4 linked regions of the Notamacropus eugenii genome follow. The protein of the gene in region 3 purifies or fractionates together with the protein of the main gene of each other region. This does not show direct contact. Links are inferred from orthologs where the notes say so. Each region holds a gene or a part of one and is shown on either strand. Other genes may lie near its edges.

Evidence for each region.
Region 1: the proteins of SLC30A4 (region 3) and C4H19orf25 purify together in Homo sapiens (affinity purification with mass spectrometry; 3 studies listed by BioGRID and IntAct, counting the BioPlex papers as one, with this or other methods). This does not show direct contact. The link is inferred for Notamacropus eugenii from reciprocal best matches to the Homo sapiens genes SLC30A4 and C19orf25.
Region 2: the proteins of SLC30A4 (region 3) and PDS5A purify together in Homo sapiens (affinity purification with mass spectrometry; 3 studies listed by BioGRID and IntAct, counting the BioPlex papers as one, with this or other methods). This does not show direct contact. The link is inferred for Notamacropus eugenii from reciprocal best matches to the Homo sapiens genes SLC30A4 and PDS5A.
Region 4: the proteins of SLC30A4 (region 3) and FUT8 purify together in Homo sapiens (co-immunoprecipitation; 3 studies listed by BioGRID and IntAct, with this or other methods). This does not show direct contact. The link is inferred for Notamacropus eugenii from reciprocal best matches to the Homo sapiens genes SLC30A4 and FUT8.

Annotation. Positions count from the first base shown.
Region 1 is NC_092875.1:62,827,561-62,835,834, reverse strand, and holds the start of C4H19orf25 (UPF0449 protein C19orf25 homolog), read left to right. Parts: upstream 1-4,967; coding exon 4,968-5,079; intron 5,080-8,274. Other genes in the region: CTD small phosphatase-like protein 2, read right to left, coding at 651-707, 1,534-1,629, 3,641-3,767, 4,093-4,172, 4,440-4,502, 4,692-4,772.
Region 2 is NC_092877.1:94,007,583-94,015,252, forward strand, and holds the start of PDS5A (sister chromatid cohesion protein PDS5 homolog A), read right to left. Parts: upstream 3,262-7,670; 5' UTR 3,241-3,261; intron 2,422-3,240; exon of another isoform or gene 2,279-2,421; intron 1,551-2,278; 5' UTR 1,511-1,550; coding exon 1,370-1,510; intron 1-1,369. UniProt on the Homo sapiens protein: Probable regulator of sister chromatid cohesion in mitosis which may stabilize cohesin complex association with chromatin. May couple sister chromatid cohesion during mitosis to DNA replication.
Region 3 is NC_092878.1:52,001,144-52,008,867, forward strand, and holds the start of SLC30A4 (probable proton-coupled zinc antiporter SLC30A4), read left to right. Parts: upstream 1-4,500; 5' UTR 4,501-4,604; intron 4,605-5,918; exon of another isoform or gene 5,919-6,042; intron 6,043-6,215; 5' UTR 6,216-6,290; coding exon 6,291-6,678; intron 6,679-7,724. UniProt on the Homo sapiens protein: Probable proton-coupled zinc ion antiporter mediating zinc import from cytoplasm potentially into the endocytic compartment. Controls zinc deposition in milk.
Region 4 is NC_092872.1:315,613,126-315,620,484, forward strand, and holds the start of FUT8 (alpha-(1,6)-fucosyltransferase), read right to left. Parts: upstream 3,116-7,359; 5' UTR 2,975-3,115; intron 1-2,974. UniProt on the Homo sapiens protein: Catalyzes the addition of fucose in alpha 1-6 linkage to the first GlcNAc residue, next to the peptide chains in N-glycans.

The sequences.
Region 1 (8,274 bases), on a different chromosome or scaffold from region 3:
GGAAAAAATGTGTCCCTTGAGAAAACCCTGGGTTCAAGTACTGGTTCTGTCATGGAAGAGCTTAGTGATCAAAGGCAAGTCACTGCCTTTTTCTATAAAAGGAAGAGGATGCACTAAGTTCCTCTTCCACCTGGATATGGTTTTATGTTTCTATAAGTTCTTCTACCTCGAGCTTTCTGACAAACCCTGACTCATCACAGAGGGACAAGACCCTGGACCCAGTAATATATCCTATGACCTAGAGCCAAATGAAAGCACCCACCTTCTTCTGCCATGTTTGCTAGATGAGATAAAACAAAGCATAATAGAGGAGTGCCCGCCCAGGTGAAAACCCCAGCATTGGCTCAGCCCCCACCACTATTCACCACACCTCCCTAGCCCCAGCCTGTGTTCCTCTAAGAAAATACAGGGAAGGGGACAGAAGATAAAGCAGTATATTTCATTTCTTAGTGAAGATGTCTGATTTCCCTTGGTCTCACTACCTGATTTCGCTGGAGCCCTACACCTGAACCTAGACTGAGCACAACCAAACCCAAGAAAAAATTGTTTTCTTTCCACCAGAGGTCTGTATCTTGAGGGGTTGGGGGCAACTGGAGGAGGAGGGGTGTCTCCAGATGCACACATACCTTCTCAGGGAAGGGAGGCCTGCTTCATTCCTCTGTGCTCAGGGTAGGGCGGACGCTCCAGAGCTCTGGTCGGACATCATCCTATGGGACAACGTATAGAGGAGAGGCACTGGATGGAGGATAAAGACTGGATGGTTAGGGAATCAGTGAGAAGATAGAACAGAGGTCCCCAAACTTATTTGGCCTACTGCCCCTTAAAAAAAATTACTCAGAGACCCCTGAAAATCTACTTTCTTTAACCCTTTAACAGTTTTTTTTTTGAAATTTCATCATTTAAAAAAATATAACATACATATATTTTAAAATGATGCATCTTAAATGTAATAATTTATCGTAAATTTGTGGTTTTTTCCCACATTGAAATTTTGATGACATAATATAACCATATAGTATCGAAATATAAACAAGTCATCACACACACACACACACACGCACACACACGCACACGCACACACACGCACACACACACTCCTGCCAAGGCATGCTGGACTTCTAACAACCTGCAATATGCTTGCCTGCCAAACCTTGTTTGTTAAGACCTGTCCATGGACTTGACCATTGACTAACTGGTTATAACTTGCACTTTGTGTGTTGATTTGGAAAATAATGTAACCACTGTGACTTTAACTCTGTTGTACAACACAGATAAAACATGTACGAACAGTTTTTCAAAATTTTCTTCTCTCTTCTCCTTATGTTTCCACCCCCCTTATTTTTATTCAACACGTCTCCCAGTTGCACCAGAGGCTACTATCCCCCCCATCCATCCAGTGCCTTCCAGGGGGCAGTATTTCCCACGTTGGGAACCTATGAGATAGAAGGTCCAGTTAGTGAAGTGGGGAGGGGATGAGAAATTGGGCCAAGTCCTCAAAGGGGGCTTTTTGTCCCATTCCCACTATTTCCTTACCAAGTGACTTAGGCGTTCTAGGAAAGGCAGAAGCTTAGATAGCTCCTGGTCCTCACTGTCCCCTTGCCATCCGGGTATCAAGAGCTGGTTGTCCATCTGGAAGACACGCAAAGGATGGGATATCTTTCTCCCACCTAATAATTCCCTTTGACCAGTTTAGGCAATTTTCTCTTTATGACCACCAGAGGGCAGCAAAGGCCAGACTGTTACCACTCTGTATATGAGTGAATGGTGGTAATGAGGTCTCATTCCTAAGATGAGCTGATCTAACTCCTTTATATTTTGTTTCATTTTTTTCTTACCCATCCTCCCACCCCTCAGACAACTCTTATTTCTGTCCTTAAAAGTCCCACTATACCACTGAACAAAGGCAAAGTTAAACGAAACCTACCCAAAGAAGCTGACACTATATTCCTCCACCCTGTTCAGCCATTTTTCAGTTGTGTCAGACTTTGTGACCCCATTTTAGGTTTTCTTGGCAAAGACACTGGAGTGCTTTGCCATTTTCTTTGCCAGCAAATTTTACAGATGAGGAAACTGAGGCAGACAGGGTCTGGCCTGACTTGCCCAGGGTCACACAGCTACTAAGTGTCTGAGGTCAGATTTGAACTCTGGAAGATGAGTCTTCCTGATTCCAGAGCAGGAGCTCTACTCACTGCACCCCCTAGCTGCTCTGGCACCCCTTAGGTGCCCTTAGACACTCTTAGCCTCCCACCTTTCTGTCAAGAAGATGGAAGTATGCCTTCTCCTCTTCTCTCCAGGACAAAAATTAGTCACTGAAATGATTATGAATAGTGCTTTACTGTTGTTTTCATTAACATCAGCATCGTAGGCATTGTTCTCCTGGTTCTTCTGCATGGGTTCATTTAGGTCTTCCATTTCTCTAAATTCCTTATCTTTGTTATTTCTCGTAGCACAATAATATTCTCCATACGTTCATTTGTTCAGTCATCTCCCATTTGATGGGCATCTGTTATGTTTGCAGTTTATTTTTCCCTACCACAGAAGCTCTGCTATGAATATCTTGTCTTCCAGAGTTTTTTTGTAATATACCAAAAGTCTTAGAACAACTGCCTTTTTGGGATAGATTCTGTGTATCACAGAATCTGAGAGCTGGAAGGGATGTCAGTAGCTGTCCACTCTATCTCGCATACTAAAGGAACCCCTATAAATACCACACAGAACATCAGGTTTTTCAGCATCTGCTTGCAGACCTACAAGGAGAAGGAACCAGGTCACCTTCCATTCTAGACAGCTCCTGGTGAACTCAAGACTAAATCATCCTCAACTTCCAGCACTCCTCCTGATTCTATCTTCTGAGGATAAACTATTCCCTCTTTACATGACAGCCCCCAAATACTCGGATCAGCCCCTTCAGTCTTGTCTTCTTCAGGCTATATATGTCCAGTTTCTTCAACTGATAAGACATGAAGATCCTTTCTCACTCTACCTGTTCTCCTCTGGACTCTCTCCAGCTTAACTGGTATCCCTAAATGGTGGTGCCCAGAATTCAAAGCAATGCTGCAGATGAGTTCTGATGAGGGCAGAAGGTATAGCTCAAAGACACATGAGGGTCTTTTTTTTCCCCTGACATATCATACTACTATCTCATGTTGACTTTCTATTAGACTGTGAGTTCACTGATGGCAGGCACTATCTTTTGTCTCTTTTTGTAATCCCATTGTTTAGAATAGCCTGGCACATAGTAGGTGCTTAATAAATGCTTGACTGACAGCCCACTAAACCTCTCCAGATCCTTCCCAGTGTAAGTGCTGCCTAAGCAGGTCTCCTCCATCTTGTACCAGTGTATTATTCCTACTGAAGATCATCAAACTCGATTCAACCCAATGCTCCAGCAAGGGTGGGGAACCCTTTAGAGTCAGAAGACCTGGGTTTAAATCCTGACTTCTTCTTTCCCTCTGTAGATCACAGTTTCTTTAATGTATGAAATATTGGGGTTTAGCTAGATAACCTAAGGTCTCTCCTAACCCTAAAAGCCTTTGATTTTGCTCCAGATCCAGGGTTCTTTCCACTAGTGTTCATTGTTCCACATGTAGACAGATCTGTCCATGGTGGTGGTGAGGGGTGGAGGGGAGAAGGCTGTTACCTGGTAGGGAAAGGCCTTGAGGGAGTCAGTGAGGACCACGGTCCGGGTCAGGTCCTGCCCCAGCACCTTCAGGTCCTTCACATAGTGACCCTGGAGGCAGATGCAGTCATCCTGGAAAAGGCGGCCCCTGGGGACCAAACAAAACCCTCACCCTCTGACTTCCAAACACCCCTTGGTTTGGATGCCACTTTATTCCAGGACTCTCACAACCTCACCTTGGGCAGGGAGGGGAAGGATGATTGTTCCTATATTACAAACGGGGGAAACAGAGGCTCAGAATGGGGCAGTCACTCGCTCTAAGTAACACTAGTCAGTTGCCAAGCCAAGAGAAGACACAGCCTCCTGCCTGACTCCTATGTCCAGTGCTCTTTCCACTGGACTATGTGGATAAAGGATCGGGTTGTAGTGGGGCCAAAGGGTCAACAAGTAGAGTGGGGAGTTGGTGGCTTCACCTAATCAACTTCTTGTGGGGATCCAGGACATCTGTGATTGGTTCTGCATAGTCCCGTTTAGCTGTGGTGAAGATAATGATCTAGAGTGGGGGGGGGGGGTGGGGAATAGGGAATTATGAGGGGGATGGGCTGAAGGTCTGACTGCTCCTCACCCTCAGCATTCCTAGAGATGGGGCAAGGAGATGTAATCCTTAGGATGACCCAGAAATCCTTCAGATTTTCCCCTCCAACTAGAAGGTAGAACTCACTGACCCATCCCACCCCAACCTCCCTCTGTCAGACTGGTTTACAGATAGCAGAATGTGAACCATGAGGTGGGGGGAGGGAGGAGAGGGAAAAAAATGTACCTGGAAGAACTGACTCAGGATCTCCAGGAATTCACGGGTGTGGGGCCGCAGCTTGCCCTGCACCTGGGAACCAACAGCAGGTACCAACTGGAAGCAATGACTAGGGTGTCTTCACTTGTCAGCCAAAGACATTGGCTGGGCCCAGCTGCCCACTTGTCAGGTACCAGGAGTTCTGGTCCCTTCTAGCTCAGACATTCCAGGGCTTCTCTCCAAACCATCCATAACCACCACCCTGGGACCAACACTACTCACCTTGTAATACATACCTTGGAATCTCACAGGGAAGGAGAAGTGGGCATCGGGCAGAGCCCGAAGGGAGCAAGAGACCAGCATATCATCCTGAGGAGGGAACTGGGCTGGAGGAAGGGAATGAGGCCTGCTCTTCTATACCCCTCCCCTGGGTCTTAGCTCTAGCCAGTGACAAGGAAGAGACAACAGTTGGCTAGGACTGAGGCTGAAGTCAGGGTCCAAGGGAAGGGTCAAGGCCTTGATTCACATACCAACTCCAGGACCAATGTACTATCTGGCATGCTGCGAGTCTTTGGAGGGATGTTTAGCCTCCGAAGCCAGAGTCTCCTTCGGTACAGAGGACAAGGGGTGATGGAGCTGCTAGAGGAGAAAGAAAAGCTCAATATGTCTGGTCTGCTGGTCAAAGAAAGACTGGACAGCTGCCTTTATTCCTTTCCTTAGACCTTTGGACTGAGAAGATCCTCCAACCCCAAAATACCTCCTCTAACGACCAAGCACTCTGACTGAAATTCCACCATTAAAGCACTCTATTATTTGGGTTAAAGTAATATCCTGTTAGGATACAAATTCTAGAGATCACACATTAAGTCATTTATTGCAACGTCAGTGATCAACAGTTTCATAATGACATTATTTATGATTAAAAAACAGAAATAGATTATGGGTCTAATGATTGCACAGAATAAGCTGGTGATCAATGATTTAGGCATCATGGGCATTGCTCGGCATGGGAACTCTCTTTATGATTACAAATGACTTCATATACCCTACAGAATTATCCAAGGTAACAGAGCTAGTATGTATCACAAGAAGGACTTGAACCCAAACGTTCCTGCTTCCAAGCCCAGCCTTTCATGTAGTATATGCATATAATTGGGTCATTGCTGCACAGTAAGAAAGGACTAGACAGGACATGTGGAGGATAGAGGGTAGGCTTTGGATCTAGGAAGAGCTGGGTTCATATCCTGCCTCTGAAAGACACTGGTTGAGTGACCCTGAGCAAGTAACTAACCCTAATTTTAATCTCTCTGTATTTTAGGCAATTTACTAAAACCATAAGTTGCAGAGAAGGTGCTGACTAACACTGGTGGAGGGAGTTACCCTACCTGGGAGTTCCCCACACCAATGAAGTCCCAGACCCAGTTTTTGTCTCTGTCCCAAGAATAGGATGGGAACTCACACAATAAATTCAGAAAAGTAAATGATGTTCACGTGAAGAGATAAAAAACAAAATCTTTGTCAATTACAATGGTTAGTGTTAGCACCACTCTGTTCTTTCCTGTTAACTGATAAACTGTTTCTTGGGGAACATCCTTTGTAAAAGAGTTTATTGAGAAGTCTGTTGTGTTGCAACAAAATGTATCAATAAATTTTTTAAAAAACCATACAGAGTAATAAAAATTCAAATGAAAAGATATCCCTGATTACATTCCTGCCATTTGTATGTCATAGGGGACCTTCTTCCATCCCCTGCCCCTGCTTAGGTTCTGAGATGTATAGCAGTATTGTACTCACAGTGAGCAAGGTAAGGTCTCCTCCACTGGTGGAACAGAGAAATAGGGGGTTGGGGTCGTAGGCTGACTCCAAGGGACCTGGGGGGCTAAAGGAAAAGGAAGCCTTTCTGGAGAAGGAAGCAGGGAGCCCAGGGTGCCCCTTCTTGATAGCCCCAGCCTCCCTCCCCAGGAAGCCTAATTTTTAGTCAAAGCCCCCATGTCCCTGCCCCAACTTCAACCTGAAGCCTCACCTTCTTCTTCAAATGCCTTTGTCCACTTCCTCTTGCTTGATGACTCCTGGGCCATATTCAATACCTGGCATTGCCCCAGATTAGGGAGGTGGACCTCACCATTGGCCTCTTGAGTATTGGCTTCACACTCCCAGCTTCTCTCTAGTGGCCTTGAAGCCTCCCTTGTCCTCTGGAGTTGCCAGCATGGACTGACACAGGGCCATCTGTCTTCTTCCAGAACACCAGTGTCTCCCAATGGTTGGGGAGACGTGAATGTCACTTTCCCAGAACGAAGAATCATGGGTCTGGATCAGTCAGGTGGGGCCTAGAAGCTGAAGGATAATTAGGAGTCATAATTAGGGGAACAGGAGGGCTCCTTTGGCTCCAAGGATGTTTGACAGGCTCTTAAGACTGAAGGGACCCTTAAACTAAAGTGGCAGAAGAGATAATTAGAGATCTCTGGTTCACCCTCTCCCCCCTATTTTACAGATGAGAAAACATAGTGGCAAAGCCAGGACTGGAAGGAAGGTATCCTGACTTCTCCTTTGATAACGAGTGCACTGTATAATTTAAATGACTAACATTTTCCATTCATTGCCTGGGAAAATGTGCGTCCACAAGGTAGCCTCATCAGGTAGCTACCAGGGCTCAGAGGAAGGGGAACTAGGCATCCCAAAGAAACTATTCTAGTGCCCACTGTAGACTAGATCTGTCCACAGCAACCAGATTTTAGCCAAGGAGAAGGAGGAGAGAAAAAAGGGATAGGGACAGCTATAGTAGGTGGTTATAAAACAGGAGAAGAAACTTAGTTTAGGAGGACGCTTGACTGGGAAGTACCTAGAGCTCAGCTGAGCTCAGCTCCTCATCCTCAGCCCAGTATTTAGGATTATTTAAAGGGTTAGCAGCTGGGGATATAAGAGAGGAGAAATCTTTATGGAGGCAGAGGGGATGGTTTGATCCATTATTGGGGAGAGAGCTCAGGACAGAGTCAAGACACCTGGCTCTGCCTCAGACTGACTACTCAGGCTTGGAAGAGTTATTCCTCTCCCGGACCTCAGTTTTCTTATTTGTGAGGCAATGGAGTTTTATTAGTGATCTTTTCCTTTTTAAATTTTTGCTTTATTTTCCCCAGGAATTCCAGTTTTTCTTTGAGCCTTTGTGTCGTGGAGTCACGCTTCTTCCAGGTTTGCATCAACGCCTGTATGGTAGGATCCTTTCTGGGTCGCCTCTTTTCTCCTTCATTTCTGAATTCGGGGCTTCGTGTCGGAGCCAGGTTCCGCAGCCTCCTGTGGAGGGGCGCTGGGGCTTCCTGGGTCCTCGTTCGGGGTCTCTGGGGTCCCGAGGCAGCCCCGGATGGTCTGTGGTCGGCGCTTCCCTTAATAGTATAATGAATACGGTGATACGATAACACTAGCCCTCAGTCCCGGTCCTTCACGTCCAGGTGTGCGGCCCGCTTCATCCGCCTCCGAGGGAGGCTGTTCACAACGGCCTGGTGCAGCGCGGTCCCGATTTTACAGATGAGGAAACTGAGGCAGGGGGTAGGTATTGACTAAGTAGCGCCTTCCTGGGCCTCAGTCTGCTCACCTGTACAACGGGGAGGTCCTTTTCAAGTCCCAATTTATAGTTCTAAGAACCTACGAGGGAGGCAGGGAGGGAGGGAGGCCCAGGGGAGGAAGAGGGAAAGGAAAACGGCGTCTGCCCCTAAAAACGAGCCTACGTTTCACTCTGCCCCACCCCCTTCCATCATGCAAGCCATTGTCTCCCAGCAGGGGGCGCGAGGTGGGGAGGGGAAGAAGTTCCCCGCAACTACGCGTGCCCGAGGAAAGGAGAAGGCGGGGCCAGGACGTCACGTGTCCAGCATAG
Region 2 (7,670 bases), on a different chromosome or scaffold from region 3:
TTCTGTGAAAAATTACAAATATTATTATAGTACAAATGAGGAAACTGAGGCTCAGAGAAGTTGTGACTTGTCCATTATCATACAGTAAGTAAAGTGTTAAGAGGTAATACTTGAATCCACATTTCCCTGAAGGTAGGCACTATCCACTAAGTCAGGCACTATGCACTAAGTCACTGCACTCCCACTGGAGGTCTTGTAAGGAAATCAGGTCCAGATAGGTGGAACTAGATGTGTCTAAGGATCTTTCCAATTCAGACTGCATGTTTGTGATACATCCATTTTGAACCTCTACTTGCCACTTAAGGCTACAACACAAGGACCTCTGCCAAAATAGTCCCTAAGAAGAATGAACTTATAAAATCCATTAGTAAAACTCATCTCCAGATTCCATGGATGGCAAGTGGAGGAAAAGTTAAAAAAAAAAAGTTCCCTGGAGGAAATATATCTTTATAAGGACTCCCACAGGAATGGGAGTCCTTACAACATTAAGATGAAGACTGACCAACTGCCAATAAATGCTGAGTTATTTTTCCAGAAGTAGTAACAACAAATTATGTATCCATACATCCACAGCTAACTGCAAAATGAATGTCAGGCTGGCCAGGGGTAGGGATACGACCTATAACTTCACAACAGAATTAAACACACTGGCATACAAAATTGCCCCATAAACAACATGTCAATTGAGCAAATTAGTCAAAGAAACATACAATATATTGAACTTTTCTTAAAACCCCACAGAATCCATGGACTTAAGTCAACATCTTGCTCCAAATTGAATCTTAAAAAAAAGTATTATTTTTACCAAATAATGCACAAATTCAATCTTGCAAAATAATTTTATAGGCTAGTTTTCTTACAGGAAATTAGAAACTTTCATTTTTTAAATCATTTCATGAAAAAAATTCTAAAAATATAGGTATCTGCCCTGACAAAATACCTTAAGGCTGAAATTCCACCTCTAACATCCATTCAACTTCCTCCCCCTCTTTTGTATAAACACTTAAATAAACTTTTTTCTACTAAGATAAAACTGACATTTTCCCCATTCCTGAAAGATTTAATCCTCTAAATTCCCCACAATGCAACACCATGACCCTATCATTCAAAGTTTTGATGACACACTTACTATCTTTTTCTTTAGGGGGAAAAACAATGTCTGAACAGGATGAAATATTCAACTATCGTTAAAAAAAAAAAAAAAGCAAGCTTGAGCAGTCAATCAAATGATAGAACAGGCTTGTCTACCGGTCTTATAAAGAGGCTTTTCGACAAAAGACCAGCCAACACCCCCAGGCTGGGGGGTGCTCTGCCCGGGAAGCTGTCAAGTTGCAGGGAGGGACAGACAGACAGGCGTGGCAGGGAGTACCTTGAGCCGTTTGACCACCTCGTCGTTGGTGATCTTGTCGGTGATCTCTTTCACCCCCGGGGGGTAGGTGATTTTTCCATCAGAGCTCACCACGCCACAGAGGGCCGTGGGCGGCTTGGGCTGTGCACTGGGGAAGTCCATCCTGGGGGACAACTTTTCTTCCACGCTCCTCTACCGGCCTCTATCGGTCAGAAAACAAAAGTTCAGCGGGAAATGGACGACTTTCTAACCTCTTTTTCATTTCAAAACCCCTCAAATCAGAAAGGGCCCAGTCTCCGGGGAGGTTGGCACGGAGAGGGATCATGGAGGGGGGAGCTGGGGAGGTGCTCCCCCGTCCTGGCAGGGTCTCTCCCGGGGCCCGGGGCTCAACAACCCCAGAAGGATCTCCTCCCCCTCCTCGGGGCCCCGCGGGGTCTCTCCCTGGCCCCGAGGAGTGCCTGGCCAACGCCTGGAGTTCCTCGGTCCGCATCTCACAATGAAATCCGCACTAAAAACAACCAACGCCCGAAGCCTGGCAGCTCCAGGGGGTGGGGGTGGGGCGGAGAGGACTAGGGGATCCCCCCCTTCCCCGGTCCGGCCCAGCCTCCTGCCGGGGCGACAGCCTCCGGGGAGAAAGCGAGGCCGAGGCCTAGGGGGCTGGGGTTAGGCCGCGGCGCCGGGGCAGCGAGCCCCTGGTGCCCGCTCCGGGCCGCCCCCCGCCCTCGTCCCGGAGCCCCGAGAGGGAGAGAGAAGGAAGGGGACTGAGCCCCCTCCCCCCCCAGGAAGCGGCAGCCGCGGCTCCGCGCTCCCCATGGGGTTCCTTCAACTTGGGCTGAGGAAGCCTCCGTGGCTGCCCTGAGCCTCGCTCGCCCGGCTCGGCGCCACGGAGAGGAGAGGCCTTCCCCTCGGCCCGGGCGCTGCCGCCTTTACCTCGTCCTCATGCGGGCGGGAGGCGCCTGGAGCGCTGGGGTCGCGGTACGCAGGTGGAGCCCAGGCCGCCGCCGCCGCCACCGCCGCCGCCTCTCTTCGGGCTGCACACAAAGCGGCTCCGTGGGTCCTGCCGCGGCCGCCGTCGTTGTCGCCGCCGCCTTCCCCGGAGCGGTGCTGGGGCTGGCGGTGCTGGGGCTGGCAGGGCCGGGGAGGAGAAGCCTCCGCGTCGGCGACGGGAGAGCCGAGCCGAGCGGCAGAGGCGAAGCGAAGAGAGGAGAGCGAGCGAGCGCGCGCTGCGCGGGGAGACACTGCCGCTCTCCGTCGGCCCGAGGAAGGGCAGCCCCGGCCGAGGCCGCTCGCTATGTGTGCATGGAGGAGGAGGGCGTCAGGGCCCGGCGCGGGAGCCCGCCACCGCCTCCGTCAGTCAGTCAGCCCGTCAGCCCGCCCCCGCCCCGGGCCGCCCGCCGAGCCTGGCCGCTCGCACTCAGCCCCGGGGCCCGCGGGTCACGCGGCGGCGGCTGGAGCGGGGCGCGCCTCCCCCTTCCCCACCCTTTACTCCTCCTCCTCCTCCGGAGCAGCCCCGGCAGCGGCCTCGCCCGCTCGGCTGCTCTCCGCCTCTCCTCTCCTCTCCTCCTTCCCCTTCCTTTCTCCCTCCTTCCCTCCCCGCCAGCCCTGCGGACAGCGCCGCCTCCCGATTGGCGCCAAAACCAGCAGCGCCCACAGGCTCGGGAGGAGGAAGCGAGCGGGCCCCGGACTGAGCCCGGCTGGAGCCGAGCAAGGGGCCCCGGGGCCAGCCTCCTGCTCCCCGGGGATGCCTGGGGGGCCCCGCACGCTCCGGAAGCAGGCGCTCACTCATTCACTTGGGCCATGGGCATTTATTAAGCGCCCGCGATGTGCTCCGCGGCGGGGACACAAAAGGACCGCCACAGCTCCTGCCCTCCTAATGGCGGAGGCAAACTTACCCACAGCTCTGTGCCAGGCAGACCGAGCCAGGATGAATGAAGGCCTCGGCGGGGGCGCGGCGGGCTCCAGCTTAGGGGGCGGGGGTCGATGGGATCGCTTCAGAGGGTATTTTCCGGGGAAGACGATGAAGTGCCCCCCACCCTGCAGCCACGTGTGAAGGAAGCGTGCTCCAGCATTTCAGTGATTTCTTTTGAGGAACACCATCCGATGGACCCCCCAGGGAGCATGGAGAACCGTAGCGGTGAATGAAAAGGGTGACAGCGAGGCCGCGGCTACCTCGACTTTTCTGGGATTATTAGGATTGATCTATTTTTCCAAATGCTCTACTTTGGTCTTAAAATTAGACGTACTTGAGCATCTACTCGGTTTGTCCTGGAGAACACAAAGCCGGAGTCATCCTCCCACCTAACACTCATCAGTTTTGATTTTTGAGTGTGCCCAGAGGACAATTCTTTGTTCCTGGCCCTTGAAGGTGGCAGAGAATCATTTTAGATGGTTTTCTGTGCAAACTGCTACATTAACAAGGAAGCACTCATTCTTGAATACTTTTTCCCACGTTTTGGATATGTTCTCCTGTTACATTGTAAATAACTAGGGGATACTATCTTTCTATGTAATTCTTAAACTCAGTAATTTGTATCCTTAAATGAGCAGTCTGAGGTTACAAACTATCTAAATATACACATGAATGTTAAGTTTGATCGTTTAAATGTTAATATGAGGTAACTATGTTATAGATATATGGATATAGAAGAATCTCTCACAGTGCCAAGCAGTTATAAGGTGGTTATCATAAATGACAGTGTGCAAAACTTTTTAAAACCCCCAGCTTTTTTTACCTTGTTGAGCATGTCTCCTAGTAGAGTGAATGAGAAAAAAAATTTAAAAGTATGTTTATATCAAAACTAGACTAATTTAATGATATACCAGATAAAAAAATTTTTAATCCCAAAGTGCTGCCTATTGAAATTGATAAACTGAAGTCATGTTTCTGATCACTTCATTCTTAACATTTATTTACCTTAAACAAATGAGTTGTATTTCTAATTATGAGGAAGAAAATGCGATACTGCAGAAAATAATATGCGATAGAGGAACTGGGTTCAAATTCAACCCCTGTTTTATTACCTATATGACCTTGGATAAGTTTCTTACTCTCCTTGTGTTTTGATTTCCTTGTAGGTGAAATGAAAGAGTTGGACAGAATGGCTTCTGAGATCCCTTACAGCTCTGCATCTATTTCCTATCTTATGAAAATGTGAATCTCTTCTATAACATTTTTAGGCCTATCCGAGATTTATTTTTCTCTTATGCCCTAATTATTGTGAAACTCATTAATGTTTTAATTTCTTCCAGTCTCTTTCCAAGTATTCCTGGAAACCCAGATTTGCTCTCTGGATAATGCATTTAGACACAGTACAGTGGTTGTTGTGTTCGTCCTTTGTTGCCAAAGAAGACCATGCCATCAGAGAAATGATGATATGACAAGGGTGTTAAAAAGTTGTCAGCCAAAATTCACCAATGACTAACAAGTACAGAAAAAAATGAAGTCAGAATCGGTATGATCTGATCTAGACATTAATGACTAATTTTGTTTCATATAGTAACTTAAAGTTTTTCTTTGCATTCTAAGATATTAATCTGCATGCACAGTTAAGTAAAAAAGTATTTATTAAGCACCTGCTATGTGTGTAAGGCACTGTGCTAAGAACAGAGGAAGCTAAGAAAGGCTTCTAAGATCTAAGAAACAAGACAATTCCAGGCTTCACAGAGCTCAAAATCTAATGGAGTAGACAACATGCAAAAACCTATGTGCAAACAAGACATGTCACAAGATAAATTGCAGGTAATCAAAGAGGGAAGGAACTAACCTTAAGGAGGACCAGGAAAGACTTCCCTTAGAAGATGAAATTTTAGCTATGACATGAAGGAAGCCAGGAGGTGGAGGTAAGGAAGGAGAGCATTCCAAGAAGGAGGAAGCTCTGGTGAAAATGCCTGGACTTATAAACTGGAATATCTTGTTGAAAAAAAAAAAGCAAGTTCAGTGTCTCTAGATCAAGGAGTACACCAGAAGAGGCAGGAGTAAGATATAAGAAGACTAGAAAGGCAGGGGGCAGGTTAGGAAGGGTTTTGAACACCAGACAATTTTATATTTGATCCTGGAGGTGATTGGGAACCATTGGAGTTTAATGAGCAGAAGAGTGATATGATCAGACCTGCACTTGCAACTTACTATTTGCTCAACTGTTTAAAAAAAATGGGGATAATAACACCCACCTCACAGGGTTGTTGTGAATATGAAATGTTTATAAAGCACTTAACACAGTGCCCGGCACATAGTGCCTGCCTCTATAAATGTGTATTCCCTTCTCTCTCTCTCTCTCTCTCCCCCTCCTTCCCTCTCTCTCCCCCCCTCTTTCCCTCTCTCTCTCTCTCTCTCTCTCTTTCCCTCTCTCTCCTCCTCCCCCCCACCCCCACCCCCTAGCTGAATGGACAATGGACTGGAATTGAGAAACCAACCAGAAGGCGATTGTAATACTCCAGAAATCAGGTGGTATACCAATATGGAGTCAGTGTTAGAGGAGAGCAGAAGACAGAAGAGAAAGCAGAAACTACTGGACTTAACCTATTGGATCTTGGGGGGAGGGGCGGGGATGATGGCAAGGAGTTGAGGGTGATACCTAGACTGTGAGTCTGGCTGACTGGGAGGATGGCAATTTGCTTAATAATGACAGGGATATTGTGAAGAGAGCAATGTCATCAAAATCTAAGCACAGCTATTTTTCTTCAAATTAAAGAGATAAATGTTTGTATTAGGTATATTTCCTTTCTTAATATAATTTTGACTAAAAGTTCCAAGCCCAGGAGCACTACTCAGCTCTCTCTTATGAACTGTATCATCTCAAAATAGACACTTAGGACAGCCTTTCAATCTACACAGGAAAAAAAGCAAAGTGAAAGAAGAGTCCATGCTGTCCAAATGATGACATACAATTAGATAATCCATTGAGTTAGTATGTATGGATATTCCTTTACACATGTGTGTGCATCAGGTTTTTTTAAGCTGCTCTTAAACAATGAACTGTTCCCACAGTTACATAGAAGGAGGATTCATATAAATCACATTTGGGAAGTTGCATAGCACTACCAGCAATCCCAACCTGCTTAGTGCTGCAAAACAATCTTTTAAAAAACATAAATACTCTCTAATTTTAAAGGCAGGTATTCTGTGGTTCAGGGCCACATAACCTTGCCACAAGAATTTTATGTCCATCTGCAATGTCTGTCCAAGAAATATGTAGTGATGAACCAACTCTGTAGGTTATTCATCCACTGCATATTGTAATCTTAAAATAAGCATTCTTCATTCACTTTGTTTTTCCTGTATAGACAAATAGGCTAAATTCTTTTCAGTGATTATGAATTTCATTTACAAGGCTCTGTGATATTACAGTGCATGAAGTAAACGGTACAATGTCACACAAAGGAGCATCTGGAGGACCTCACCATTAACAGAGAATGCCTCTTCTGTATATAGGGTTGTGGGTCATCTGAAAAAAATTAGAGTTGTGAATCATTCAAATGGTAATGGAGATAACTTGGTGGTTATGAGTAGGCTGCAGAATGTTACCAAAGATGGTTTGTAGTAAATTGGAAAAAGAGGGCTAGAAATTCACTGTTTGATAAAAACTGTTGTTTTATTGTCCCATTGGGGAAACAGTTGGAGGGACAGGCAGTAAGGGCTTATGTAAATAGATTTTTAAAAATTTTCTAACAACAGGAAAATAGTTTAGCAGAAACTAGGTATAAAGCAACATTTCACATTGTATATCAAGTTAAACTCCAAATGGATATATTATTTAGACATAAGAGGTGGTATAAATTAAATAGAAGAGCAAGGAAAGAATTACCTTTCAGATATAAGGATAGAGGAAGAGTTTATGCTTAAGGAACAGGATCACGAAGGGACAATTTTTGAATACATAAAATTTAAAAGTTTTTGTACAAATAAATCTAATGCAATTAAAATAAGAAAGGAAACAGGTTATGGGGGGGGGGAACCTCTGAAATAAGTTTCTTTGATAAGAGTCTCATTTCAAAGATATATGAGGAATGGGTTCAAATTTATAAGAATAAGAGTCATTCCCCAATTGACAAGTGGTCAAATGAACAAAACATTATCAAAGGAATAACTCCAAGATATCAGTAACCATATAAAAATGTATTCCAAATCACTAAAAGTTAGAAAAATGTACTTTAAAATAACTGAGGTTACTGTCATGTACTTCAGATGGACTGGGAGAAAATAGACATTTTTGGAGCTATAAGTTGGTTCCAGCCATTCTAGCAATCAGTTTGGAAGTATATCTCAAAAGGCATCAACTATATATGCCCTTTATCCCAGATAAGTCTCTAACCTCAAAGAAAT
Region 3 (7,724 bases):
GTGAACATAATTGAATGCTATTATGCAGTAAGAAATGACAAAAGGAACTGTTTCAGAGAAATATGGGAAGATTTGTATAAATTGATGCAGACTGAAATGAGTAGAACCAGGAGGAAAATTTATGGTACAACATTGTAAATACAAACAAATTGAAAAGATTTAAAAACTTTGATCACTGCACTGATTCCAGGGACCCTATTATGGGGCATGCTACTTATCTCCTGATGGATTCAGAATGGTGAAGAACTGGACATGTACCATGTGGGAGTTCATTTTGCTTGACTATGCAAGGGTTTCGAGGGTTTTGTTTTTCTTCTGGGGAGTGGGAGAAATGAGACAGGGAGAAATTGGATTTTTATTCATGGAAAAAATTGAAATAAACCTTAACAAATAATAATGCATTCCAGAATCTTTTTTTTTTATTACTTTTTTAGGATTGGATCTGTGATTGCATTGATATAGGGAACTTACAATAAGGAATCTTCCACAACCAATACAGATCAGCACCTGCTCTATCGCTTGTGTAGACTTTTGGAGGGTTTCCTGGAAGTTACCACAGGTTGAATGACTTGCCTATAGTCACATGGTCAGTAAGTGTTACTAGAAAGATGGTTCTTTATCAGCATACCCTGAGGACTCTCTAGAATTTCCCCATTTATCCAAGTCAGGCTCAGTAGCCTGTGGCATAAAGATCACATTCTATTCACTTTTTGAAAACCTGGACATCTAACCCTCTCTAATCCATTGGTACTTTTGCTAGTTTTCACAGTCTTGTAAAGATCACCCTTAGTGGCTCAGTACTCATACCTAGTAATACTTGCACCAGTCTAGGACGTAATCCATCTGGGCTCGATAATTAAAATATTCCTGAGACATTGTAACCTTCCAAGTCGCCTTCTAAATAAAGTTCCTCTTAAACTTTTTCCATTCGTGACCCCTTTTCCCTGCAGGTATATACAACAGGTACACAAATCAAACATTTACTGATAATAAATCATAAAGAAATTTATTTTAAAACAATTCTTTGGTATACATATAATTTTACCATTTATTAAAGACAAAAGCAAATTTGCATACTAATGAGATGGACGTGCTTGTTTATTTTACATAAAGAATTAAATCTTGGCAAAATATCTGATACTGCAGGACGTAGAGCATCTTCAATGTTTTTCAGAGTTGACTGATATTTTGATTTTATAATCATCAATGCTGAGAATGGTGCTTTGCATAAATACATAGTACAAAATGGCAGAAGTCTCTTTGAGCCATATCAGAAATTGTTGGAAATTCTGTCCTAATCCCAAGCCAAAATTCATTTAACAATTTTTTAGGATACAAAAGTTTTAAATCTGTGCCACTTGATAATTCAGCAGATTCTCCTTGAATTTTTAATGCCAGATGACTGACCATTTTTTTTTATTTCAATTGAGTATGGTTTATGAACCCAACTTGTTTTTTTAGAATCAAAATATGAAGGGAAGTATTTCTGAAACTATATCTCCAGGCACTTCAGATGATCATTTCTAACTCTTACAATTAAATCTTTGGGAAGGTTATTTTCAATTATAAAATCATCTGTAGCTGCAAACATTTCTAAAGAACCATTTTTCATCCTACTCTTCCACATGTTAACGTTTTTAGTAAAACTTTCAATTTTATCTTTTAACGTAAACATGCTACAATTTTTCCTTGAAACAACATGTTTAAATCATTGAGTTTTTTTAAATATCCAACAACACAGTTTTGAATGTCATAAAAAAATTAACAAAATCAAATTTCTGCTCAGTCAAAAATATAACAATTTCATCTTTCAGTTTCAATAATTGATTTAAATTTTGCCCTTTTGAGAGTCACATGATTCGATGTATTTTCCTTTTCTTGCCAATTTAGGTGTACTAAAACCTGGAAGTGAAGATTGCCACACTGTCATCAGTGTTTTTACCTCCTGTCTAAATTTCTCCACTCATCCATAACCAAAAAATATTTTTGCCTTAAAATGTAAATAAATGTTGCCAATAATTTCTTACATAAACGCTAGCTTTAGTTTCTGAAATTACATTTGTTTGTGCTTACTTTAAAAAACTGATGTTCACGTTTACATTGGTGATAGTGGAGAAATATTATTAAAGGGTTTTTGTCTTTACTTGCTACAATTAAACACTTATGTTTCTCTAAAAGAAGGAGATAACAGCAATTTTAAAATCATACATTCTAACACAATACAATCCAAATATATACTAACTTGATACTTACATGCTGAGGGATGATGGCAGGAAAATATTAAAAGTATTTATTTTCCATAACTATTATGTTTCTGTAAGAGCAGAAAAACTTTTACGTACTGTAAAAACACTGCAGTTCATAACATACAGTAGTCTCAAACCTAAGCCCAGCTGTTTCTGGCAGCGTTTATGGGCGTTGTGTGGTGTGATGTCATGTGCAGTATAAGGTGTGCATGTTGTTCCAAACCGAGACTGCAGTGAAGTCCCATAATGCAACATAGGCAAGTGCTGCAAGAAACGCCTTGGATTCATTACGTCTGCTTTTGAATTCATTTTTGTTGTGCATTCAGAAATCTTCTATTGTTGCCAAATTTTTCACAACCCCCATATTCAGTTATATGACCTCATATGGCAGGCCTGCCTGCACAACATACAGCCAATTTGCGAACTGCCACAGGATTTGGGTGGCCCACAAAAAATGTAGGTTTGTCACTGTGCACTCTCTAATGTTTGTCACATGAGCTGCAGCAACCAACCATCATCAGCCCGTCTGTCTCTAATCTAACCTGTCTGCAGCCTGAAGATGTTTACAAGTTGTGCACATCTGCTGTACTGGAGTGGCGACTGACAGTTTAGGAAGTTCTGGTCATAAATGATCAGAGAGAGCAAACTAATTTCAGGAAGACCTGTGTTCTCTCCTGCTTCCAACACACATTAATTTATGTGATGTTGTTTAGCATTTCAGTTTTGGCAACTCTCTAAGACTACACAGTTGCTGATATGCATTGCTGGATGGATTGAGGAGTCACACCTGGAGTCCACCATGCTGATGACGTCACAAATCCATTCTGTATCACCACCACCATCATCTCTCTGTCTCTGTCTCTGTGTCTCTCTCTGTCACACACTCACACACACTCACACACACACACAGAGTTTTCTAGATAAATTAGTTTGATTAGTTTTGAATGAATAAAGAAGAATTTATCAAGTACTCCGTATGTGCAAAGCACAGTGCTAAGAGCTGAGAACAGACACAGAAAAGTCAGCTAGCCCCTGCTCTCAAGGAGCTCACACTGATGGGGGAAACAGCACATATAGTAGGTTTGATCTGCAAATCAAATGGAAACGTCCCATGGTCTAAGTTAGGGTCCAGCAGCCAAGCAGAGGTCTATATCTCTTCTTTAATGTCGTTATGTTACCAGTTTGAATACTGGTTAAATCACGTGTGCCAGATATGATAAAGTTCAGTTACTCAAAATGTTCAGTTAAACACCCCATTCATCAACGCTGTGAATCAATAGGAGTTTGCCCGGCAAAACTAGAGATTAAATGCTTGGACTGTGTAGAGAGTAAAGGAATTTGGATTGCTAGTGGAAAATAAGGCGTAGCTTGCCAGCTTCACCTGACCCCTTTCCAATCTTGCTCCTGAATTGAAGATTTTGGGGGAGTGAAATAAAATCTCACACCCCCGGCTCTTATGGCAGTTTTGCTCAGTGAAGGCCTCAAGATGATAAGAAGGGGAAACATGGATAAGACAGAAATTAAGATAAATTTCTGATCATAATTCCGATGAGAGTTTAGGCTGAGGGGCCCTAAACAACCTTCTGTTGGAGGGCTGACAGAAGGGGATTAACCCTTGGGGCTACTGCTCAAGAACTAACCTCTCTCTTTGTAAACATTAAGTGCTAACTGTGTGCCCGTCACTGTGTACGGGTGGGGCTCTACACTTGCACAGATGGAGCTTCTCTCTTGTCATTTAAATGCACCCTCTGGTTAGTCTAGTGAAGGGAACAAGTCACTGTGGGCTGTTGAACTACAGTAAGTTCCCTCATCGGAGCTGGTTTTCCGGAAGGTCAGGTGTTCTCGTGTGATGCTGGATCTACCATCAAGAAAGGCTCCTACCTGCGCAATAGGAACCCTGGCTTTGTTAGGAGCTCACTGGCCTTCGTTCCAGTGTAAAGGAGTGGGCTTGGGGTTGAACAGGGGAGCCCCAGTGCGGTTTGGGGAGTGTTCCCCATCCCGGGGGGTCGGCATGAGCCCCTGGACCTTGCTGGAAGGCCAGGGTGCCCCTCGGAGCGTTTCCCACCGACGTGCGCTGCCTCCGAGGGGCCCGGTGACGGAGCACGGAGATGGGGGTGCCCTTCCCAGAACAGTCGCCCCGCCTGGTCTCACTTCTCTCTCCAGCCCTGAGACTCCAGATCCTCGCAGACTCAGAGCAGAGCTTCGTTGGAGGGGAAGCAGAGGCTGCCCGAGGTTCCTGGACCTCCTGCCTCCGTGACCCCAGCTGGAGGCTCAGCCGCCCAGCGCTCGGGACGCTGGCAGCGGCCAGCCCGGGGACCCTGGGGTTCGGCTGTCCGCGCTCGGGGGGTTCACCACCCGGTAAGCTCGAGGTCCAGAGCTCCAAGTTAGGGCGCAGGCAGCAGGAGGGAAACGCGAATGGAAAGCCGGCCGTGGCAGGGCGAGGTCGGAGGGGGACCCGAACCTGGCGGTCCTGCCCCGTGAGGGGGAGCCCCCGGAACGGGCTGCCCTTCCTGAGGGGCTCTGACGGGCTGCTGGGAGGTTCTCCGTACGTCCTCGGTGCCCCAAGCATTTAGGGGGCTCCCCGCTTCCCCCCTTTGGGGGTTCTGAGATGCGGTCCGCCGGGAGCCCGAGGGGAACGAGAGCTTTGGGGAATCGCAGCGCCCACCTCCGGGCGACATACGACGTACCTAAGCCCCGCTACTTGGGGCGTCCGCGGGAGGGCTGGGTCCGCGCCCCGAGACGACAGCGTTCCACGGGGGACAACTTAATTTCTGCCGCACTCCCCCGCGGGCGGGGCCAGGCCCGGGCGGCCGTCCTCTGACGCTCGGGGTCGGCCGACTGGCCCAGGGTCACCGGCAGGCCTGTCTCAGGGAGCATCCTCGGCCCTGTCGCCCCCGCAGTCGAGCCGGCTCCGCCAGCTCCGGGCCTGCTCCGTGACAGGCCTGCCCGCGGCGGCAGCGATGCGCCTTAGGACGTGCGCTCATCCGGGCGCACGGGTCCGAACCGGGACTGCCGGGGCGGGCGGGGGCGCCGCTCCAGAGGCCGCCGGCCGGAGGACCCAGCAGACACCGACCCTCCCCGCCCTCCCCCCCGGAGCGGGCGCCCCGGCTGCTCGGACGGGCTGGCGGCGGCGGCCTGGCTGGGGGAGGCCTCGCTCCGCGGCCGCAACTCGCGGGGCACTGGGACCCCGGAGCCCGCGAGCTGGGAGACCCCCTGGGGCGAGGGGGCGGGGCGGGAAAGCGCTCGGCCCCGCCGGGAGCGCGCCTGTTCCTCGGGACGGCGGGGAGAGCGCTCGGGCTCGGGCTCGGGCTCGCGCTCGCTCGCGCTCCCCCTCCCGCGGCCTCCGCCCAGCAGTCCCCGGCCTCTTCTCGTGCAGACCCCTCCCTCTCTCGTGCGGCTCTCGCTCCGTGACTGCCGCGCACGCGCGCAGCCCCTCGCCGAGGCGGAGCGGGGGAGGCGCCCGGGAGGCGCCCTCGGTCCGGGAGGCTGCGCTAGCGCAGAGACTGTCCGCCTCCAGGGGAGCCGGCTCCCGGAGCGGAGCGGAGAGGAGCGGAGCGGCGCGACGCTCAGGGCCGCGCGGTGCCCGCACCGCCCCTTCCTCGCCCCCGTGGGCCGTGCCCTCTTCGCTTCTGCCTCCCGGGGCTGGATAGAGAGCCGGGAGCGCCGGCCGACCTTGCTGCAGAGGGCGGAGCGCGGCGGCGGAGCGGGCCGAGGCGGCCGGGGAGATGCCTTCTCCCCCGCGCCGAGGCTCCGCGGCAGGCGTCGGGCAGGAGGGCTCGCCGCGCCGGCGCCCCAGGTACCGCAGCCGGGCCGGGCGGAGCTCCGGGAGCCCGTGCCCCGGGGCCGCCGCCGCCCCCCGCGGGCGCCCTCACCTTGGGGGGTCCGGAGCCCCGAGCGCCGTGGGGCGGAGCGGGGCGGGCGCGGGCGCGGTGGCCCGGCCCTGGTTCTGATTTTGCTCCCTTTTCCTAGGATGGGAAGGCTCGGGCGGCCGCGCCCCTCCTAGACCTCCGCTCCCAGTGAAGCCGAGCCCCAGCCGCGCCGGCCATGGCCCGGGCCAGCGTGTGGCACCGCCTGCGCTCGTGGTGGAAGCGGGACGACGCGCCCCCGTTCCTCAACGACACCAGCGCCTTCGACTTCTCGGACGAGGTCGGGGACGAGGACTTCCCCAGGTTCAACAAGCTCCGCGTCGTGGTGGCCGATGACGGCCCGGAGCCCCCCGACGGCCTGAGCGGCCCCCGCCTGGCCTTCCCGCCGGACGACGACTCCCTGCTGGACCAGGACGGGCCCCTGCCCGGCGGCCAGCTGGGCTTCAGGGCGGACCCTTGTGACAGCTGCCGCCGGCAGCGGGAGCTGCTGAGGCTGCGGAAGGTGAAGACCCGGCTGACCCTGGCGGGGGTGCTCTACCTGCTGTTCATGATCGGGGAGCTCGTGGGTGAGTGCTGGCAGCGGCCCCGTGCCCCTGCCCGGCCGGGCTGGCCCCGCGCGGCCTCCTGGAAGGCAGCCGCCGTCCGGTGAGAGAGGTGGGGGTGTTTGAACGAGCGGTGTGCCTCACTTCCTTTTTGGGGTTCAGGGATGCGGCCCGGCGCTAGCGTCCACATCCTGGTTCCCCGAGCCCCCTGTCAGATGCGCCGGGTTAGCGTTGGCGGGGAGGCCCCTGTCCCGGTGGGACCTAGACTGGCCTGGACGGAGCCCTCGGGGTGCCCCGGGCCAGCCCCCCGCTGGGCAGGAGAGCCAGGACTAGACAGCCTCCTGCACCACGCCCTGAGCGGTGCTGGTGCCTTCAGAGCCCTGCCCGGGGAGGGCACGAGCCCCCGACAGCAGTGCCAGGCTGTGTGGATTCGGCCGAGACATTGATCCTCTCGGGATAATGACAGCTGATAAGAACTACTGCTGGCTGTTCATATAATCGATAATGGCTCTGTGCTATTCGTGTAGCTCCCTTACAAACAATTCCGTGTATGCTTCCAAGAATCTGGGGGAAGGCACGGACTGTTACTGCCTCCAAAGAGCTGGCTGGCCCGGGGTGGGCCGCGGGGTGTCTGAGGCTGAATGGGTGAACTCCAGGTTCTGGACTCCTGCTGGCAAGTAATGGGAACGTTAAGGCGCTCCAAACGTCTTTTTTTATCACAGTTTTGATGGGCTTCGCTATAAACGCTTCCTGCAGCTTATCCTGTTAGGCGGGAGACGGAGAGTAGGGCAGACGTCCTAGGCTTTTGGCCTCCTGTCCGGCAGTTGCCCACAGCCGCTGGGCCAGCTGCTGCCTGCCAGTGCCTTTGTGCCAGCCGCCCCTCCAAGGCAGGTCTTGCTGAGTGGTGTTGGAGGAGGAAAGATGCTGCATTTTTACACGCGTGAAAGAGATTCCATTTCCACATGTCCTGTGGGATAAATGCCCCATGGTGCTGAAGGGTTTTTCCAGCAGAGTTGGTTCTCATGACTCCACTTCTGAGACACTTGACTCTGAGTCAGTTGGTTGGAAGC
Region 4 (7,359 bases), on a different chromosome or scaffold from region 3:
TCCTTGCTATTCTGTTGCCCACCAATTCTATTATACCTTAAAAAGGATACCTTGGTTTTGCTTTAAAAGTATACACTGATAATTATTTACGTAAAGCTTATTGAAAAGAATACAACCAACACCCTCAAATCTATCCCTTTGCAAATTAATATGCTAATATTTTTAAGATGGCTATCACCACCAGATTCTAGCCTTGATTTGGACTATCAGAGAAATAACATACTTCACTGGCTTACAGTTTATAAATCTAAAAAAATATTATAGACGACTAAATAACATTGCATTATATTCAAAAGGCACCAATTCAATTTAATGGGTCAGCTGGTTAACTCACTGCGCTATATTGCAGGAGGAAGCAGTTAGGAAGTGACCTTGGGATCCTTACTCTACAGATGTATGAGCAACCCAATTCCTCATCAAAAAAAGACCTATAAAGTTTCTGGAGACTATACAGATTACTCATGCACGTTGAATGCACTTGCTTATACACATTCTGATCTTTTAAACTATACCAGGCATGTGGTTAAAATTTCAAAATTATGGATTGGTTATTTTAAATAAAAGGTTATAAACTAGCACTAAGGACTTGGCAAAGCTTTACCTCTTTCCTTCTAGACTACAGACTTCTACTATATTGCACCAAGCACAATAACAAAACATGATCATACATTAAGTTCTTGATCACACATTCACAGCTGTTTTAAGTGAAAAATTAAATGTTTATTGTTTCTATTTGCTTTGCAAAATTTCACACCATAAAAACTAGAAAAAAAATTCCCACTATTTGTTCTATGGAAAACATACTTTCTAATACTTCTGATTAGTATTAACAAATAACTTAATATACAGAAAAATATGTGTTTTTCTACCTTTTTAATAATAATAATACTGGCCACAGGAAACGTTTTGGGCTTTTTAAAAGTTCCAACATAAATTAAGCTATACTTTGCTTTGGCACTAGCTCCCCCTCCAGACCATACTACTAATGTTGTAACTGCATTTAAGAAACAAACATGCTGCACTCACTGGTTGTACCAAGCCACTGACAAGTACCAAAATTCAACATTTTTCAAAAAATATCACATCAGAGTGCTTGAAATTTAAAAAAAAAAAAACCTGTACCAAAGAACTGCAGAAATTAAACAGAAAGATTCTTATAATCTCATCCATCTTAAACAGAAATGATATGCAGGAAAATACATCTGGACACTTACAAAATGATTTTTCAGTTAAATGCAAAAACTATTAAAAATAGAATCTTTCTACAATTCTACATTTCAATGAAATTAATCTAAATTCACTATTCCAATAAACTAGATTCTATCACTCCGTATAACACTTTCTACTTTTGTTTGCCTAATTCATTGCTTGATCAAAGATAAAGAAAATATTTTTGCATCTGTTTCTGCTATCTATGCAAGTTTCCTTCCAGCTGTTCAGCAAGCTCTTCAATTTAAGAATGCTGAAGTTCTAAAGCTGTAAAAGGAAAATGTTATGCCTCCAAAGCAACTTCAGTAGTTTTTAGATCCTTTTCATTCCTGATTGCCTAAATTCTTGAGAAACTAAACTTCTATGATTCACAATTTCAAATCTGGATTCTCTTAACCTTACCATTAAATGAATTACTCGTAAATCGTTAAGTAAATGCATTTTAATCTCCAAATTTTGTGCGATAATACAAAAGACTGGAGAAGCACTGATATTCACTTTATGGAATAGCTTTTGAAGGAAAAATTACTTTAGCTAAAGTAAAACCATAACTTTTTTCCAGTAAGCATAGAGAACCCCACAGTGCTTAAAAAGATTTAATTGCTTTAACAATATTTTCAACATAATACCTTTTAAAAATGTCACTACTTGAAGAAATCAAATATACAAACTTAACAAGAAAATAAAGAACATCTTTGATGACAAAAAAAACCTATTATGAAACCTACTTCCTTCATCCACTGGCTTTAAGCAAAAAATTAGCCAATTACTTGTGAGTTTATTTAAACTGTAATCGTCCTAAGGAACCCTAAACTGGCAATTGCAGGTCTACCGCTGCCGAATGGAAACTGTGACTTCACTCTCCCCAACTGGCTTAAATATAGTACGTGGAATTTTATGCACCTTTTTTTTAAATTTTCCTACCACCACCACCCCCAAACATAAGACTCAACCCTAAAAAATCAAACCAAGGTTAAACCCAGATGTGGCCAGTGCCGCCCAACTTTAGAGGAGTTTTATGCAGCGGTTCTCGGAGGATGAGCGTGCCAGAAGGTTGCCACCCCCAAAGTGAATTGTCAGTGAATAACAGGTGAAGCACCGGACCGGGCACAGGCTCCCAGGCAGGGCAAACCTCCCCACTAAAGATGATCAGCTCTTCTACCACCACCCCCAGACCTCCAGCATTCACTCAAGTTACCAGCACCTCTCCATTAAAAGGAGGTGGGAGCACCCCTCTTGTAATTAAAGAGAAGGGACTGCTCTCTCCTTCCTCCCCACCTGGGGTGGAGGGGATCTAGGGGCAGATTCACTCCCCCAATTTCCATTCCAAGCCCTGAAAGCTCGCTCGGTGATGCCCACCGGCCCGAGTGCAGGAGCTGAGTGGGAGGTGGAGAAGGGGAGGACGAGGAGCCCCCCCAACCCATCTCCCTTACCCCCTGGGCAGGATGCGCTCCTCCAAGGAGAGCAACAGCGCCCCTCCCGCCCCAGACAGGAGACGCCCCGGCCCCACTCACCCCAGGGCTCCCACACCTGGAGCTCCCAGAGCAGCGCCCCCACCAAGCCCCCAGCTCCTGGGTCCCCCGAGGGATAGAGGAGAAAAGGGGGAGGGGAAATCCTTTCCCCGGCTCCTTCCGGGAACCGCTGTTCGAGAGGCAGCCGCAGGCCCGGGAGGAGAGAAGCGGCCCCAAGTCCTCGGGTTCCCCGGCTCCCCGCGCTTTCCCCGGCGCCAGCCCCAGCCCCGCACGACGCCCCGACGCCCCCTTACCCGTGGAGGGAGGGGAGGAGGGCTCCGGCGGCTCGTCTCCAGCCACCGCCACCTCCGGCCGTCGCTGCCCCGGGCAGGGGGAGTGGGAGTGGGAGGGGTGGTGGCGTGGAGGAGGATGCTACTCCCGACTCGGGGAGCAGAGGAAGAAACGGAAACAGGAACCGCCGCCGCCGCCGTTTAACGGAGCCTTCGGCGCCACTGACCGAGGGGGAGCGCGAGGCGGCGCGAGCTGGGCGGACGCTGACAGCGCAAGCCGGCCACTGGGCGCGCGACCCAGAGCAGCGCGAACCCCATTCCTGGGGGGGGGAAGAAGGGAACGGATGGTGGGGCGGGGGTGGAGTGCGGGAGGTTGGAGAGGCTGGGAGAGCTAGGGGAGGGAAAAAAAACCCTAGGCGAGTCAGCCGGAGATAACGCGCGCACGCGCCGGAGCGGCTCCGACGAGAACGCAGGCTGGGGGAGCCTATGATAGCGCAAGCATGCGCGCGAAAGGGGCGCGCGCCCCTCTCCGTTCAGGGCCCGGCAAGGGTGCGCGTGCGCATGCGCCGGCCGCTGCCACCTACGGCGACCCTGGCATGTGCTGGGGCTTCTACTTCTTCCCCACTGCGTTTTTTTCCTCTTTTTTCCCACTCTCGGGTGGCGCGGCAGCAGCGGGAACATTCACGTCCGAGCCAAGTGGAGAAAATACTCCGAGACATTTCCGCAGTTCATCAGCCACACGTGCGCATGCACGCCTAGCCGAGCTGTAAAGGAATACGCTGTATTCATCCTCTACGAGACTCCCAGAGTACCCAGGAGGCGCGAGGAAAGGCTGCCCTGGGCAAAGCCAGGACTCCCTTGGGAAGGACACGCCGCCTGGGCTTTGCAGTGTTCTTTCCGTCTCCGGAAAATACAGGCACCTCGTGGCTCTGCGGGGAATAGTGGGCTGCTTGACGTACTTTGGCTTGGGCAGTGCTGCATCGGTCCCGCGGGACCCTGGTCCGCCGGCCCGACCACAGCGTGCAGCCTGCATTGCTAGGTGAGACATCCTTCTGCCCTCCCTGGGGTTCCATTGATTTAGAAGTACAATCCGCCCAAGCTCCCCTTCATTGTGCGGAGGCAAAGACGTTTAGGGGACACCTGGTGTGAGTTTCCTTCACGTGCTCAGGAGCTCCCCAGCCTCGCTTGGAAAAGCCCCTGGTAAGGGAGCAGGACCATCGCCACCTCTGGCGCTGCGAAAGGTTAAAACGACGCAGCCTCCACCACGCACACCTAAGGGAAGGGGCATCCTCTTTTCCTACAAAGCTCCCCGCCCACCCAGACATTTAAAAGTCCCGTAGCTGGCAAGTGAAGCGAGCAACTGTTCGCAGCTCCCGAGCCCAGCCGAGTGATGGGCTGCCTCCCCGGTCCAATCCGAGGAGTAGAGCCTGGAGGAGGGGAACTATAACTGCCCAATGAGGGGAAGGATACGAAAAGCGAGGGGTGCGGACCCGACCAATCAGAGAGCGAGAGAGTCTGAGTGGAATGCGACCGGCCCAATCAGAGACCCGGGTACCGTGGTCCTTTTCCAAACTCTGGCCTGCGAGCTCTGGAGTGCAACATCCCTGACTCTCGGAAGGGCAGGGATGAGTTGTAGAAGAGGAGGTCATTCCCTCGCTTTGAAAATGGGAGGCTGCACGATGTGATCAGGGTCGGCGCCCAGCAGAAAGCAGCTCCCTGGAGATGTTAGGTCCATGTGTGTAATCCTTGAAGAAAGGGTGGGCTTCAGATGGAGTGGCCCTCGGGATCAAGCCGCCTGCCTAGTAAGGAGTGTTGGATTCACCCTCCCAAACCTTCATGTGATAATCACACCCCCGGCCTCTAACTTCCAGTGCCTTCCACTAAGTATTTTACAGCCATTTTTAATGAGTTATGATTAAGAGGTGGAGTAACTTCTCCAAGGTTCTTTACAGCCAGAACTGGAATTGTGAAATTTCCAGACTAGCGTCTCGTAGCGCAGCTGGTGCCTCCGGCTACTCCGAGCTGCCAGACTGAATTCCCCACCCTTACTTCTCGTTCTTTAGAGTGGATCTGAGGGGGAGCAATTAAGTCCCTAGGTCTACAATAACCTTTCTAGAAGGCTGAAATGAAATGGTATTCTTTTACCATCCTTGAGAATGGCTGTAAGCCATTCATTAACAAAAGTTTTCCTGTCTGTGCCTCAGTTTTCTTGAAAATTTAGGGGGTGACTTTCCCCTGTTGGAAAAAAAAATGTTGTAACTTATTGCTTTTTGGTTCAATTATATCTTGGTTCACTTCCACAAGCGTTTAATTCCTTTATCTATTGTTTGTGAATTAATTGATCGATTATTTTAATTATAGTTGATTAATTTCTTTGAACGAATGAAGCTTTAAGCGCTTAACTGTGTGAAGAGCACTGTGCTTTTTTTTAATTTAAATTTATTTAAATTTTTTAAAATGACAAAGTCTCTACCCTAAAAAGGGATTTTACAACCTGTTAGAGTTTGAAGGGGGAAGGGGGAAGATGGAATAGAAAGAACCTTCTTGAAAGAAGGTCCAAACAAAGTAAATACTCAAGGAAAATGCCAGGCGGATAGAAAATTTGTCAAAGACAAATGTACATCTGAAGGTAACGTATGTTGCACAAACTTGGACGCTAGGTGGCGCAGAGTGGATAGCGTGCCAGGCATGGAGTCAAGAAGATTCCCTCTTCCTGAGTTCAAATCCGGATTCAGACACTTAATAGTTGTGTGACCCTGGGCAAGTCACTTAACCCCTGTTTGCCTCAATTTCCACATCTATAAAAATGAACAAACCATTTCAGTGTCTTTGACAAAGAAAAGCCCAAAAGGAATCAAGAAGAATTAAAAATGACTAAACAGCTACATGTATACTAAGTAGAAGGTACAAAATGAGGATGAATGTTGGTATAATTCCCATCTCCGTAGCCCTTTAAGGTTATAAAGTTCTCTACATACATTATCTTATTTGAGCCTCACCAGAACCCTGTGTGATAAGAAGTTATTACATTTCAATTAGCTTCTCTTTTACAGAAGAGAAAAAAGTGTCAGAAAAAGAATTCAGAACCTGGCCCTTCCTGACTTCCAATGCACTGCTCTTTCCATTACAGCAAACAGTATTACTACCTCCATATGATTTGAAATTTCCCCAGGGATTTGAGTCTAGGTGTGGCAACTAAATTTCTGTCTAGCAGGGCTGTGCCTAAAAAGGCCTTCTTGAAATATCCCAAAACTTAGTGACTGTTCTCAAATCAAGAGAGGGACAGTTTAGCATAATGGATAGAGAGTAAAACTGGAAGAGGGGTTAGTTTAAGATCCACCTCTGATACATGCTAAGAAAATCTCTTTTCTAGGCAGGCTTTAAAACCATAAGTTGCAAAGAAGGTGCCAACCTAAGTTGGTAGAGGGAGTTTTGAAATTACATACAGTCCTTGTTTCTTCAGTAGAAAAGTAACATTTGAGAAGAAATTTGATTTTTGAAGTTCTCAGTCCAGGAAGCTTTACTTACATAATCCACTTATGACTGCAGTCATACTGACAATAATAATAGCATTTATAAAGCACTTTAAATATTTCATTTATCCTCACAACCACCCTGGAAAGTAGATGCATTTGTTATCATCCCCTATTTACAAATGAAGAAACTGAGACAGGATGGTTAAGTGACTTGCCCAGGGTCTCACAAGTATCCCAAGGCCTAGTCCATCAAATTCTACCTAATGCACCACCTAGCTCCCTTAATACCTCTTCCAAACAACAATCACAACGTTTAAAGTCGCATCTAAGTAACTCTACCAGACAGTAATATTTGCCAGGACCTTCCAACATCTTGTATCTCTTCTTCCTCAGGTCATCCTTTTCTTTTTCTTTCTTTTTCATTTTTATTTTTTGCAGCCCCAAACCTCTCCCTCTAAGAGTCAGCTTGCTATCAGTCTGATTGTCCTAACTAAAGAACCTAAACCAAAATGTGTTTTTTTCTTCTCTTCACTCACATTTTAGCAAATTGTTCAGTATATGTTAATAGCTTGAAATGAAAAAGGATAAAGCTTCCATTGCAGTGGCAAGAAAGTAAGGCTTTCAATCTGTCTTAAAAAGGTACAGTTATACTACCATATCAACCTATTGGTTGTAAACCTTCAACATTTTTCTAATGCTAGAAGTTACTAGCTGATTAACTGCTTGCAACCAAACCACTTAACCAATTCAATAAGAACTTAACCCACCTCCCTTTCCTCAAATCCCACCCAAGTGTAATCATTTAAGGATTTAGTTGAAAGTCTCAGCTAGAAGACTCACGGGGATATTGGATATGGAGGTTTTAATTATATGTAAGTGGCTTTGGTGATCTATATAAGTGAGACTTTAAAAATTCAAATAAGCCTGTATCAG